Linked DNA regions of Rattus norvegicus. The main gene of each other region encodes a partner of the protein of the gene in region 2 in a complex. Links are inferred from orthologs where the notes say so. Each region holds a gene or a part of one and is shown on either strand. Other genes may lie near its edges.

Region 1 (4,457 bases), about 180 Mb from region 2:
TTAGAGCACAACAGAAGGCCCTTGAGGAGTGTGGCCACTGGCCACGGTAGGCGCATTCAGCACTCTCAGATGCTCTCAATAGAACTGGCTCATTCTCATACAACATGGCTCTGACTCTGCCAGTGTCTTTAGCACCAGGGAGTAGCACTGGGTTTTGCCTTTTTCTTCTTCCTTCATACACAGGACAAGCCAAGAGGAGCTCGTTACGACAGAGGCAGCCGCAGTCGTCCTGACTTAGGAAGACGAATGACCCGTGATGATAATTTCAAAGGAATATTGTTTCTGTAGTCAGGTCCTTAGGAAGCCAGGATACCAGGTGGACAAGAGTCTGGCTGCCCTTGGCTCCCACTGGCTCACGTCCTTGTCCTCGACAAGAGGTAGGAGAGGATGAAGAAGGCCACAATTAAGACCACAGCCATACCACACAGAAGCTTCCGGTTGTCTCGCCCAGACCGTGCCACCGTGGAAAAGCGCTTCACACTCCCTGTGAGTAGGCCAGTCACACTTGTGAAATCTGAGTCCTGCGGGAGAGACCCAACGGGATCACATAGAGCTGGGATCTGTGACGGCCCAACTGTACTAGCGCTGAAGGGTTAGAGGCAGAAGAGCAGGCGGCATGGGGGTAGAGCTGACTATGATTTGTACGTAATACAGGCACTTACCATGCCATCTAGGTATCGGTTCTGGTCTTCCGTGTCCCTGTCGATGTCCAAAGCCAGCTGGTTGGGATACAGAAGGCACAGTCAAGCAAGGACACAGAGTGCAGTGCCCATCTTCCCTTCAGATTCTGCTAGGTACCTATTACTAGAAAAAGCTAAAAAGGCCAAGGTATTACCTGAAGCATTCCTCAGTCAGCACACCCACGGACAGCATGGCTTCCTTTCTACCCACTCAGCCCCACTCACCAAAGTGTCTCATGGAAGGGAAAAGGGCCACCACTAACCGATTTAAGCCTGGTGACCTTAGAGGCCAGGCTGTCAGCCATCCGCTTGTTCTCTCTGTCTAGAATCTCCTCCACAGCACCAGAACTCTGAGCTGCAAGACAAAGAGGCTGAAGGGTAGAATTCACTCATAAATGTGGTCCTTGGCTCCTTGCTCCAGTGGAGCCTGGCCTGGTGAGACCTCTAAGGGCATTCCACCCATATCCTTCTGCTCACTTAGCATGTTCCACCCTATGTTCCAACAGGTAGACCACCTACACACCAGACAGGAAGCATGGGTCATGGGAGTACTTGTGTGCAATGCCCAGGCAGAGACAGGGAACCAGCAGGTCAATCTACACTACCCTGTTGTATACTGTTCCTGGACCAAAATGAATATTGCCTTAGCTGAAATCACCATCTGAGAGTATGGGACAGGTCTCAATCTGGTAGGGATTATAGGGAAAACAGAACAGAACAACAAAGCAGGTGACAGGAAGGCTGTGTGGGGATGACTTAGGAATCAAGTCCAAGGTAAGTGTAAGAAAGGCCTTTTACTGTAGAAACTACCAATCCCTACTGCTACAACCCACACAGGATCTCTAGAAGCCCCAGAGCACTCTCCTGTGGAAACCTTACTCCGACGGACAGAGACTAGACATGAAGAATTTCTGTCACGGTATGTAGTTGAGAATCACCTGCCTAAGTGTGACTGGCACTGGTCTGAAGCATAAAAATCCAGCCTCGATATGACCCACCTAAGGGGAAAGCCAGCAGCACCAGCAAACAGGGGCGACCAGACTCTAAAAGACAGACGGCTGTGTCCTACCAACCACTACATAGTTAGTATAGTAGAAGCCTCAGTATCACAACTGTCAGACTGAACACAGGCACGGGGGCGGAGGGTGTGTGTGAAACGAGGCACTTGAGCCCTGTAAGTCCCTGCTTGGACCTTCTGCTTCCAGCCCTTGGCATCAACCATACACACAAACTGATGTCATGCCGGCTTGGGTTCCAAGGCAGTGCCAGTTGAAATCTGGCCCTGTTTTTCCTGGAATACGTAAGCGCCATCCCACGCAGATCCCTCCACCGAGGAAAAATTGATGGCTCGTACTCCAGACTTAGACCTTGCCTCCTATCCCAACTACCTTCAGGTGCGCTCACCTCGAGTCCAATCTGCCATCGCGCCTTCCGAGGTCCCACTCGGGGAGTAGGCAACACAGCGACGGACGTGGCACCACTACCTGGGTCTTCCGGTTCCGCCTCAGGTCTAATAACTTCCGGGAGAAGAGTCTGAAGCGGAAGAAACAGACTTGTAGTTCTACACTGGAATGTAAATAAGGGAAGGGCGGGCCGCCAGCATTCGGGCCTACGGATTGGTCAGCAGTATTAGTCCCGCGCTGTGGGTATTACCCGGAGCAGGAGCTCAGACCCCAACCTGGAGCCGAGGGTCGGGTACCTCGGGCGCTGCAAAGTCCCCAAGTGAGAACGACAGGATGGGGAGGACGAGCAGAAGCGAAAGAGACTGGCAAAGGACCTGACACTGAGTAGAGGCAAGCGCCGGTTAGCACAGCGGGCGGCATTATCCTCTGGAACATTGCTTGTGTCACCGTGGGGTGCACCGACTCTGCCTTAAGCTAAGTGGCATGCAGACCTGGCTCCCCACTATACAACGTTCCTACGCTTCTAACCCCAGACACGCCGCGGCTAGCCGCCCCTCCGTTGCTCCTCCCGCGGGAGTCGCTTTTCCACCGGTGTTCTTCACTTCCTTCTCTCCGATCCTTCCTCATACACTCTGCAATTGCCCTTTTCTTTTGATAACCACATTATTTTGGTGGTTTGGTTTTTTGATTGTTTTTAGATAGGTCTGCCCGTTTCTGCCTCTCGAGTGCTGAAATTTAAAAAAGCGTGCGTTACTATGCCCGGCTAACCACGTACATTATTTTGACCATCCAAGTCGTACTTCTCTTTCCTTATTTCCCGTGGAAGATGAGCATCAGGAAGATGACCGCGAGAATCGTCTTCCCCAACTGACTAAGCGGCCAGGAGCCGGCGCTCCCTCTTTTATCACAGTACGGGAACAAGAGTGTAAGGAGAAAGGTTTACGCGCCGGCCAAGCCACACCCCACTCCCCACCCCCGCCCGCCAGGAAGTCGGGCTAGAGAGAAGGGCTCAAAAGGAGGATACTGCTTAGTTAGCTAGCATCGCTGCTCCAAGACAAGCCGCTCAGCGGCCACAGCCGGGTTGCTCCACCTTAAGCCGGAGGCCAGCCCCGCGCCTGTACACACCCTAGGCTCGGCTGTTCTCCCAGCATTCCTCACGCGTGGACGCTGGGCTTCCGGACCTGGGCGGAGTCCCCGGGTTTGGCCGATTGCGTCTTCCCAGCCCAAGTCTTCTAGCACCCCGTGCCAGGGGCCATGGAGCCCCGGGCAGTTGCGGATGCCTTGGAGACGGGAGAGGAAGATGCGGTGACAGAAGCTCTGCGGTCGTTTAACCGAGAGGTGAGAGGCATCCAGCTGCCGAGGAAATTGCAGGAAGTGAGGAAGCAGCCGGTTGCTCGCCACTCGGCTGGGGTGTGCGTGCGAGTGTGGCAGGGAGCAGGGCGGTGGGTGGTGGGCTGGGCCACGGCGGTGCCTCTGTGGTAGTCAGGTGTATGGGTGGCGAGGGTGGGCCTTGCTTTACGTACACAGCGATGGCTGCTGCTTCAGAGGTAGAAGCAGACCTGCTGCTTCTCGAGGAGCACAGGTCCTACCTGCGTGTGGAACTGAGCTTCCTGGGTCTCCCTGCAGCATTCCCAGAGCTTCACCTTCGATGATGCACAGCAGGAGGACAGGAAGGTAGGTGTCAGCCCAAGGGGGTTCCTAGGGCAAGCACGGGCTGCCCCAAGAAGAGGGCCTAGTGGAACCATTTTTGTCCCTTCCCACAGAGACTCGCAAAGCTGCTGGTCTCCGTACTGGAGCAGGGCTTGTCACCAAAACACCGTGTCACCTGGCTGCAGACTATCCGAATCCTATCCCGAGACCGCAGCTGCCTGGACTCATTTGCTAGCCGCCAGAGTTTACACGCACTAGCCTGCTATGCCGACATTGCCATCTCAGAGGAGCCCATCCCACAGCCCCCAGACATGGATGTCCTCCTCGAGTCTCTCAAATGCCTGTGTAATCTTGTGCTCAGCAGTCCTACAGCACAGATGCTAGCAGCAGAGGCTCGACTGGTGGTGAGGCTAGCGGAACGTGTGGGACTGTACCGCAAAAGGAGCTATCCCCACGAAGTCCAGTTCTTTGACTTAAGGCTCCTTTTCCTGCTAACAGCCCTTCGCACTGATGTGCGCCAGCAGCTGTTTCAGGAGCTGCATGGCGTGCGCCTGCTGACCGATGCGCTGGAACTGACATTGGGTGTGGCCCCCAAAGAAAACCCTCTGGTGATACTTCCAGCCCAAGAGACAGAGCGGGCCATGGAAATCCTCAAAGTGCTCTTTAACATCACCTACGACTCTGTTAAGAGGGAGGTTGATGAGGTAGGTTGTAGTCTGAAGTC
Region 2 (4,616 bases):
ATTCCCTGTAGTCAAGCAAACTGGAGAACGTGGCTGGTGGTGAGAAAAGTGGGCTTCACTCACTCTAAGGGCTTCCCCTCCTCATCTGTGCGTAACTGACCAGAGAAAGGGTAAGGAGATGACCACCACGGTCCTGTCTTGAGTGATGAGGGATCAGGAATCGGAGAAAGGGCTGAATTATTTCCTGCACATGGTGCCTTTTATGATTGTTTCTCTCAATCTCGAAAGCCTCTGTAGTAGGCATAACTACTCTTGTAGTTTTTGTTTTGGTTTGGTTTTTTTTTTTTTTTTTTTACAAAGAAACAGAGGCATCGCTGAGATGAGCAAAAGACTTAAACTCTCACAGTAAATCTGGGAGCTCATATTGTCGCAAACGCTAGACTAAACCCTAGTGCTTTCTGTAGAACAACTTAGCACAGGTGGACCAGGTCAACTACACGACCACGCTTGACACGTTTCTGCGGCCCGGGGGTAGTTTCTTTACAACAAGGAAACAAACTTGGACGGTGGTAACACCACTGAGCAGTACTCTCCCTTTCTGTCCTGTTCGGCTATGGTGACATTTTAAAAGAGACAAGTTGGCTCTTTAGATGTAAGACAAGTTAAGTGGGACAATGGCTAACTTTGCTGGAAAAAAAAATAAACATATAAATTCATGAATAATTATCGATAGATGACTCTGAGGTCTATTTTTCCAAGTGAGCTGATTGATTCTGTGTTTGTAAAGTGCCTGTGCTCTATAACCATCTGCAGGACGTAGCCTGAGCTGCAATGCCCAAAATTATTCTGTGTTGAAAACCTATTTGGAATTCCTTTCGCTCAAAATAATTATGTAGCTCTTCACCGCGCACCTGCACTTCCTGCAGACCAGCTGCTACTGACAGGCACTGTTAAAGTGAATTAAGGTAGATGAAAGCCACCCAGGCTACCTTTCAAGTGCTTGGAAACTAGATGGGGCCAGTAGCCAGTGGCTGGAACAGCTCACATATTCACTTCTCTCCCCGCAGAAAGCTCAATTGGCCAGCGTTCAACTCAACTTCTCAGTAATTATCTTTTTATGAAGATATACAAACACTGAGGTGAAAGAGGAGAGGCGGGGGCCAAACTGTAACACCCACGGTAAGGGCTGTCTCAAGATCGTGTCGAAAGTACAATCTAAAAACAAGCGAAGGGGATTTCGTTATAGATTCTTGAATGTAAAACACTACCCCGGAGTTACTCCTGGACATACCATCGTAGACTCTTAAAGGCTTCCGCTGAGCAGAGAACTGGCCTGAAATGTAGCCTGTTGAAATCGAATGGCCAGTTTCGCTTTTTAAATCATGAGTACCAGCATAAAACTATGAGCTTCCTCCCCCTTTACTCCCCTGGGTTTGTATTTGTGTGTGTGTGTGTGGTGAGTGCTGTACGGGGAGTATAAATCTTGGACAAAGTCTAGTCCCTAGTACTTGGTCTTGAATAAGTGTCTGAAGTGTGAATCAACAAGTGTACCCATATCCCAAGAACACATGCCCAGCCTGAGAGTAAATATTAACATTTCTAAAACACTGTTTCAGGTTTATTGCCACCTGGGCTTTTCTGGTGTCCCTTTTCTGTCTCTAGATGACCCTTCCCATGACACCCGCCCACCTAGTTCTTTCTCCCTGCAAGGTGTTATCACACACCAGAGACGCCGGATCTGAAATGAGCAGTCTCCACTACGGCTCTGTCAGTGTAACTTCTACTTCGAGCCATGCATCATCCTCAGGAGGTTGGACCACTCACACTTTGTTCTCAAGTCCTGACACAAGCAGGAGAGGAGTCATAGGACCCAATCAATGAACACGAGGGTGCTCCAACTCTCAGATGAGGATTCATCCACGAACTACTCAAGTGCGTCTTCACCCAGCTCCTTCATGGATCCAACCATTGTGCTACACTGTCTGCTTTCAGTTAATTCACCAAGCATTCTTTTTCTCCAGTTTCACACATTAATATTTCGAGTTACACTGAACCAGAGCAAAATTCACTCAGACTAAAGGGTGGGAGTTTTACCTAGTAGGACTATCAGACACTGCAGAAATATTACCTTGCAGTACTGGGGACTGAACCAGGGTTTTGTGCACACACCATTTAGTGGCATATAGTTCAACATTATTCAAAATTTTCCACCAGCACCATATGGATGCATTTGGGATCCTAATCAGAATTAGAAATGACTGCTAATCGGGAGCAGCATAAAAAGTGAGCTCGCTGAAGGGAAAGCACCCAGAGGTCAATGAGTTAATACTGTGTTATATTAACTTCCCCAGACGCTGGGAAACTACAGCCTTATTCTTAGCAAGTCACAAGCCCAGGGCCAACTTCCAAAGCAGCTTGCAAATCCGAAGGCCCATCCCCACCTCGATACAATTTAACAGTTTTATCAATCTCTGCACAGCACAGCTCAGGTACACCTAAAGGAATGCCTACCTTCAACCGGACCAAACCAGTGTTCCACAGTTACTTCCTTTTTTTTCCTGATTGTGGAAAACTTGTAAATAATAATTCCTAACAGAATACGAGATCTAAAGCAACCAAAAATAATATATGCATATAAAATTCAAGCATAATTTTTAAAAACTATAAGGAAAAAATTACCATTTGACTATAAAGCATCCTCTCCCAACATTTTTTCTCTCTCATTCTTTCTTCTTTTCTCCTCCCCCTCCCTCTCCCTCTCCCCCTCTCTCTTTTGTCTGAATTTAACCTACAAAACACATATGGGAATTCTCAAAATACTTTGTTAAGGGTCTTGGTGGGTAAATCAATTAAAGACGTGCACAAGGTAGGTCAGAGAAAGTTAGCTTGTGTGAGTAGGGCCAACAGCCAAGCAAGCAAATGCTCTGGGCCACAGAACGAACCTGTGGCCGGATGACCAGGGCCCATCGCGTTTCCCTTTCTGTCTTTCTGGAGGGGAAGTTGACAGAAAATGAAAACACGGTTGTTGCCTGCCAGGATCTGGCGGCAGGTCAGGTCCCCGAGGCTCCATTGCCGCGCGCTTGGGTGCTCGTTCCCGAGTCCGCCTCGGGGCGTGGGAGCCCGAGAGGAAGGCGCTGGCCCTGCGCCCTAGGGAGCCCCGCTCTGCGCACCCCAAACCAACCACCGGCGAGCAGTGGTTCTGGAGTGTCCCTTCCGCGCCCCCGCCTCTGCAGTCTCCTCTTACCCTGACCTCGTTGGCTTCCTCTGTCACCTCCAGCTGCTGTCACCGAGGGCCCACGGCCCTGCGCAGCCAGTCTCAGCGAATGGGCGGTGGCGCAAGCACTCCCAATGCGCATGCGCAGGGCCAAAGCCCCAGGAAGAAGGAGGCGGGGCTCGCGTCTCTCCCATTGGCCAGTGACAGCTGAAGCTTGGAGGGACTGGCAAAATTCCTAGGGAACCAAGCTTTGATGGGTGACAAAGTGATGTCTACATGCAAGAAAAGAGGAAGAAATCCAATAGAGGAGAGCTGCGTTCTTTATTCGGTGGCGCCATCCTTCCTGGATTGAGGGTGCACCCTCAGCTCCTGAAGGTCCTGTTTCCTAACCCTCAGCTCTGTGGCAGACTTGACAACTCCATTTTAAAATGTCACTGCAAAAATGTCAAGGCAATCCTAGCTAAGCCCACGCAAAGAATAAATGAAGACTCACCTCCCGATGCCCACTTGGTAAGGGTGTTTCTTGGCTCATGATGGGTCTTTCGTCCTTGAAATACAGGATGCGGTTTTCCCAGGCTTTAAGAGCACAGACTGTTCCAACAATAACTCTTTAAACATGTGACTCTCAGATGAGAAACATCAGTGGTTCAGGTAAAAGAAATACTTTTCCAAATTAATTAGACGATCTTGCCTTGGCCTTTGCCTGTAATTAAGACAGTGTTATTTCTGGAAAGAATATGAAAACGCATGATACCAAAAGTGCAGTCGAATTCAGGTGGAGGCTGGGGGTGGGGGTAGGGGGTGGGGGTGGGGTGGTAGTGGTGGTAGTTCCAGACTATTGTGAGTCAGAACCGCAGAGCAAACTGTACGTTGGTTGGTTTTACACATGCAAGCATACATCGGTGATTTAAGTCTGACTCAAACACCGCATCTTCCAAGTAGGATCCACAGTGGACTAAGCACACTGGTCAAAGGATGTGCGTCCATTTAAAGTGTGATGTGATACAGCTAGAGCCATTGTGAACTGTAGGGTTTTGCTGCTTTTTTCCGGCACTGGAAACTGAACCAAGGTCATTGACCATGAGAAGCCCATGCCTTCCCTGTGTCCTGTATCACCAGAGGTTTTTGGTTTTGAAACAAAGTCTCTATAGGTTGCCCAGACTAACCTTGAACTCACTGTGTAGCCCAGGTAGGCCTTGAACTTGCAACCCTCTTTCCTCATCGTTCAGAGTACAGGCCTGTCCCAGGTTGTTTGTGGTTCTGTTTGGAGGTACTAGGGATCAAACCCAAGGCCTCACATTTCAGGTAGTTGATCCACCCCTGAGTTCTACCTGTCGTCTCCACTGTGAACTTATAGAAATATTAGCCCATCATAGTGACATTATATGTTTCCTAAGATACAGAGGAAATTCAGGTTTTTCTTTGAAATCAATCCTTTTGTCAAACTTGTTATATTTTTAAA
Region 3 (4,526 bases), on a different chromosome or scaffold from region 2:
TCTGAAGACAAACAACAAAAACACAGCTCTCTCAACCTCTTTCCTTTGTAAGTGCAATGCAGTAATGCTGACTAGAGAGGGCACTTAGCAAGCACCAGACACTGTGAACTTTCAAATATTAGGAACTACCATTGATTCTCAAATCAAATCCATAGACCTGGAGCAAAACACAGTTCATACCAGCCTGACTTGCATGGCGCTTCACGTTTCCTTCCTAGCTCTAAAAACACAGCGTCTCAGGGCTGGCTGGCTGACTTACCAGGTAAACTGCCGCAGACTGATGACCTAGGAGCCATGCAGTGGAACAAGAAAGCATAAGATGACCTCCTCTAAGCTACACACACACACACAACAACAACAACAAAACTGAGGTCTCAGGCATCCATACTGGACTTCACGCAAACTAAAATGGAAAACTGTCAATAACCTTATTATAAGGACACATGTCTACAGGTACCACAAAACCAAAACTTAAAACAATAACCATAAGCACTTAACATATTAATCAGATGACAAAATTCTATCACTTCTGAGGCTTTTGAGAAATCTCTTCAGAAGATGCAATGTCAAGATAAGAGATACCAGATGTAGGTGATGAAGACTATAAAAGTCTAATGATTTCCATACATGGTAAGACTGTTACTGCCACAAACCTCCTAGATTAGGACACACTGTGGCAGCGATCCCTCCAGGGCCACGAGAATACAGACTATACCTTGAGGAAATAAGTCTCTCTTTCACTTTGGGTGTTTTAACCAGTGTACACATCAATTTGAAGAGTAATGAATGTGAATAAAAGGGAGAGAAATAAATTATTCTGCTTCGATACCCAGCTATTTTCTTCTAAGAACTCATAGTACCTTTAACAACCAAAAATGGTTTTTACAGTAATTTAACAAATACAATATGTAGTATTTTTTTTTTTTTTGAAACAGAGTCTCACTGTATACTCTAGGCTGGCCTTGAACTCACTGAGATTTCCTGCCTCTGCCTCCCAAGTGCTAGGACTAAAGGCATGCACCACCACCCCAGACATATCTAGCAAATATTTATCAGATACCTAGGATGTGCTGGGTACTGTTCCTGGGAGTTTAGGTCATATGCTAAACAAGCAAGCAAAAATACTATTTCATTTCCAGTTTACTGGCTCTCACTTGGGAGGCAGAGGCAGGAGGATCTCTGAGTTTGAGGCCAGCCTGGTATACACAAGAGAAACCTTGTCTTGGAAAACAAACACAAACCCAAAAAGCAAAAACAAACAAATGAAATGGGCATCCTAAGAATAACTGTATAGAGAGCTAATATTTCTAAATAAAATAGCAAACATATTAATAATAGCTGGTAGCTCTTACTATTGTCAGACAGTAATTTTAAAGAGCTTTACATATCTCATTTACTCAAAAACCCCATTCAGTTAGATGCTATGTTTTACTTTATAGTAGAAACTAGTTTGGTTAAAATAACTTGCAAGATCACATAACTAATAAAAGGTATATATAACTTCTGGCTCTAGAATCTCTCTCTTTTTAAATAGAGTCTCAAGATGTAAAATCTAGCTGGTCTGGAAATCTCTGTGTTGCTGTGTACACCAGGCTGGCCTTGATCTCACAGAGATTCTCCTATTTGTACCTCCCAAGTGCTGAGATTAAAAGTGTTCACTACTGTTAATCTCTTAATTTTTACTGTATTTACTAGATTAATAAATTCTTCATAATGTTTTTAATGGCAGAAAAATATTTTGTCATGCTTGGTACAGAACACACTGTTATCTCTAATCTACAGGTAGACATTCTCATCTACAGCTCAAACGAGTTTGCGCCTCTTATTTAAGTTCATTCACTCAACTGATCACGTGAGAAAACACGGACCCTCTTCAATCTTTCTTCCTACTCATATCCACCAATCTCATAAATCTCTGCCTCGGAACCACCTGTTAGATTTAATGCTCACTCTCCAGATTCCCATGCTTACCTAGTCAACTGTCACGGAAGCTCCTAACACAGTCTCTTATAGCCATTCTCACATCCTCTATCCAGCTATCCGCCGCCTTGCTTCTAAAATGAAATCCACATTACTCAGCTGCTTATGTTCCTTACTGATTTACCCTATTACGTCAAAAATCTTAATGTGAGACATTCAGGTTCCTCTTTAAGTGGCTGTTTTACTCCCCTCACCTCCCACCACTGTCTTACCTATAAGCTTTACAACTATTTTTAAATTTTCATTGCCTACCAACCAAATTCCTACATCCCCAACCCCAAACTAAGTTTCTTTTTTTTTTATATATAAAAAAGTCGTCTTAACGAAACACAGGACCGTAGATTTAAGAACGCCCTATGCTGCTGGGAGAGGAGGAGAACTAAGAATTTGGGGGCTAGGACGTGGGAGGCTCGCTAGGAGACGACATCCTAATGTCGATCCCATTGCACGCCCCCAGTCACAAGAGGCTGCAGATCCTGGGCGCCCGGGGCTGGACAGCAGCAGGGGGCGTGCCCGAGTTGGAAGCCGGGAGCCCGGGATTGCGTTTGGGATCCCGCACCCTGCGGAGTTCTACCGGTCTGGTCCCGCCCCCGCCTCACCGGTCCCCGCGGTTCCCAGCAGCCGCTCCGGCACCCCTTGTAGATCTTCAAGGAGGCCGCGGAAGATCTCGTGCAGCTTCTCGAAATGCTCGGAGGAGGCGGCGGAAGTGGCCATAGTGCAGGTTGCTCGTGAGCTGCGGCCACTGAGACTCCGGGCGCTGGGCCCACTCCCACCTCAGGAATCAGCTACCCGGCCCCAAAGCCATCACCGCTGCCGCACCTCGGCCTCCCGGAATCAGGCGTTTCCGGGGTCCTCCGAGCCGGACGCCCTCCCCCCTGTTGTCACTGTGCGAGCGCCAAAGCCTGACAGAAAGCCAGGCGAGGACGACACCCGGCTACTATAGGGGCGCGGCCTGGCGCCAAGGCGAGCTGCTGTCTCCAACCTGGAGACAGGCAGTGGGCACAGGGGAGGTACCAAAGCGAAGAGCCCAAGGGAGCCCGCGGGACGGGCGCCTCGGACGCCTCATTCGGGCCCGCCGGTCCTGCAGTGCATGCTGGGGGTTGTAGTTAAGTGAGGAAGGGCGGCTGTGCAGGGAGGGCCTGGAGTGCCAGCCCTGTTGCGCAGCGACTGGATAGCACAAGTGCCTAGCTGTCATTGCACTTCATTCTGCCACCTGACTTCAGTTCAGTCTCAGCCCTAGATAGATAGAAGAGCAGAGGCTTGCCCTGCTCTTCTCGGATGGTAAAGCTCTATAACTGGGGAGATTAAGTGGCCAGGGTCACATGCTTTCAGAACAGGAAAATGAGCACTGTGCTCCCAGAATACACAAAGCTTTTAGGGGCTGAGCCAGTCCAGTCCATTAGGCTGCGCCGGGTTCTCATTCACAACAGGTTAAGAATAGCCATTTTGATAAGTTAAATATTGATCAAAATATCTTTGCCTTTGCCCTTGAGTAATGTATGATTTGGTGTGGAAAACAGACCCGTCTTACCATGTCTCTCTCTCTCTCTCTTTTTTTTTTTGGTTCTTTTTTTTTTCCGGAGCTGGGGACGGAACTCAGGGCCTTGCGCTTCCTAGGTAAGCGCTCTACCACTGAGCTAAATCCCCAGCCCCGTCTTAGCATGTCTTATCTGCCCTTACATAAAACATATTAACAATTATGAAGTCTTCTCTGTTCTTTCATAGGTATAAATTCCTATGTATACTGTTGGCAGGGTTTACACAAAGAGCCTACTCTCAAAAGTTTGCGTGGGAGCTCAGTATTTATACATGGAAATACACACACACACACACACACACACACACACACACACACACACATATGGCTGAGGATGTAGCTGAGGGTACACTTATCTAACATAAGCAAATCCTGTAATCCATCTTCCAAGGTATATGGTAAAGTGGGTTACTGGTGATTTTTGTCTTTGAGGCCCTAGGTTTACAAGCTTGAATCCATTGACCATTAAATTCAATGAAAAAAATTGTAAAATGCATTGTGCAAAGATAAAGTCTGATGTTGTTAGCAGTGGTGCAAACTCTTATATTTTTCTCATAAAATTCAAAGATAGGCCAAGAGTGGTGTTGCTTGATTTTAATCCCAGCACTTGGAAGGCAGAGAGAGGCAGATGGATCACTGAGTTCAAGGCCAGCCTGGTCTACAAAGCACTTTCAGGACAGCCAGGGCCACACAGAGAAACCCTACCTCAAAAGCAAAATATAAAATTAACAGGGCCAAGTGCTCTGCCTGTGGAGCCCAGAAGAGGGCGTCGGATCTTCTGGAGCTGGAGTTGAAGAAGAGCTGCCTGGCGTGCCCTGTAAGAGTTGTATGTGATCCTAAGAACTGTGAATCTCTTCAGCCTCAAGTCTTATATTTCTCTGTCGCTTAGTCGGGGCATGTAAGTAGGAAATGCTTTGATGGTTGGTCTGATGGTCACAACCCAACTTAATGGCATGTGTGCGTGTTGTAGGTGCGCTGTAATGATTCTGGGACACGTGCCCCCAATAGA

The links. The genes of interacting proteins can lie anywhere in the genome.
Region 1: Stx7 (region 2) and Bet1l share a complex: the UniProt entries of both Homo sapiens proteins name them as parts of the SNARE complex. The link is inferred for Rattus norvegicus from reciprocal best matches to the Homo sapiens genes STX7 and BET1L.
Region 3: Stx7 (region 2) and Vti1b share a complex: the UniProt entries of both Homo sapiens proteins name them as parts of the SNARE complex. The link is inferred for Rattus norvegicus from reciprocal best matches to the Homo sapiens genes STX7 and VTI1B.

Annotation. Positions count from the first base shown.
Region 1 is NC_086019.1:205,361,690-205,366,146, forward strand, and holds the start of Bet1l (BET1-like protein), read right to left. Parts: upstream 3,018-4,457; 5' UTR 2,859-3,017; intron 2,214-2,858; 5' UTR 2,104-2,213; coding exon 2,085-2,103; intron 1,036-2,084; coding exon 944-1,035; intron 720-943; coding exon 663-719; intron 522-662; coding exon 354-521; 3' UTR 1-353. Other genes in the region: Ric8a (synembryn-A), read left to right, coding at 3,338-3,421, 3,710-3,757, 3,847-4,437. UniProt on the Homo sapiens protein: Vesicle SNARE required for targeting and fusion of retrograde transport vesicles with the Golgi complex. Required for the integrity of the Golgi complex.
Region 2 is NC_086019.1:23,053,245-23,057,860, forward strand, and holds the start of Stx7 (syntaxin-7), read right to left. Parts: upstream 3,222-4,616; 5' UTR 3,191-3,221; exon of another isoform or gene 3,185-3,190; intron 2,929-3,184; exon of another isoform or gene 2,883-2,928; intron 1-2,882. UniProt on the Homo sapiens protein: May be involved in protein trafficking from the plasma membrane to the early endosome (EE) as well as in homotypic fusion of endocytic organelles. Mediates the endocytic trafficking from early endosomes to late endosomes and lysosomes.
Region 3 is NC_086024.1:103,706,471-103,710,996, forward strand, and holds the start of Vti1b (vesicle transport through interaction with t-SNAREs homolog 1B), read right to left. Parts: upstream 3,018-4,526; 5' UTR 2,695-3,017; coding exon 2,580-2,694; intron 2,055-2,579; exon of another isoform or gene 1,972-2,054; intron 1-1,971. UniProt on the Homo sapiens protein: V-SNARE that mediates vesicle transport pathways through interactions with t-SNAREs on the target membrane. These interactions are proposed to mediate aspects of the specificity of vesicle trafficking and to promote fusion of the lipid bilayers.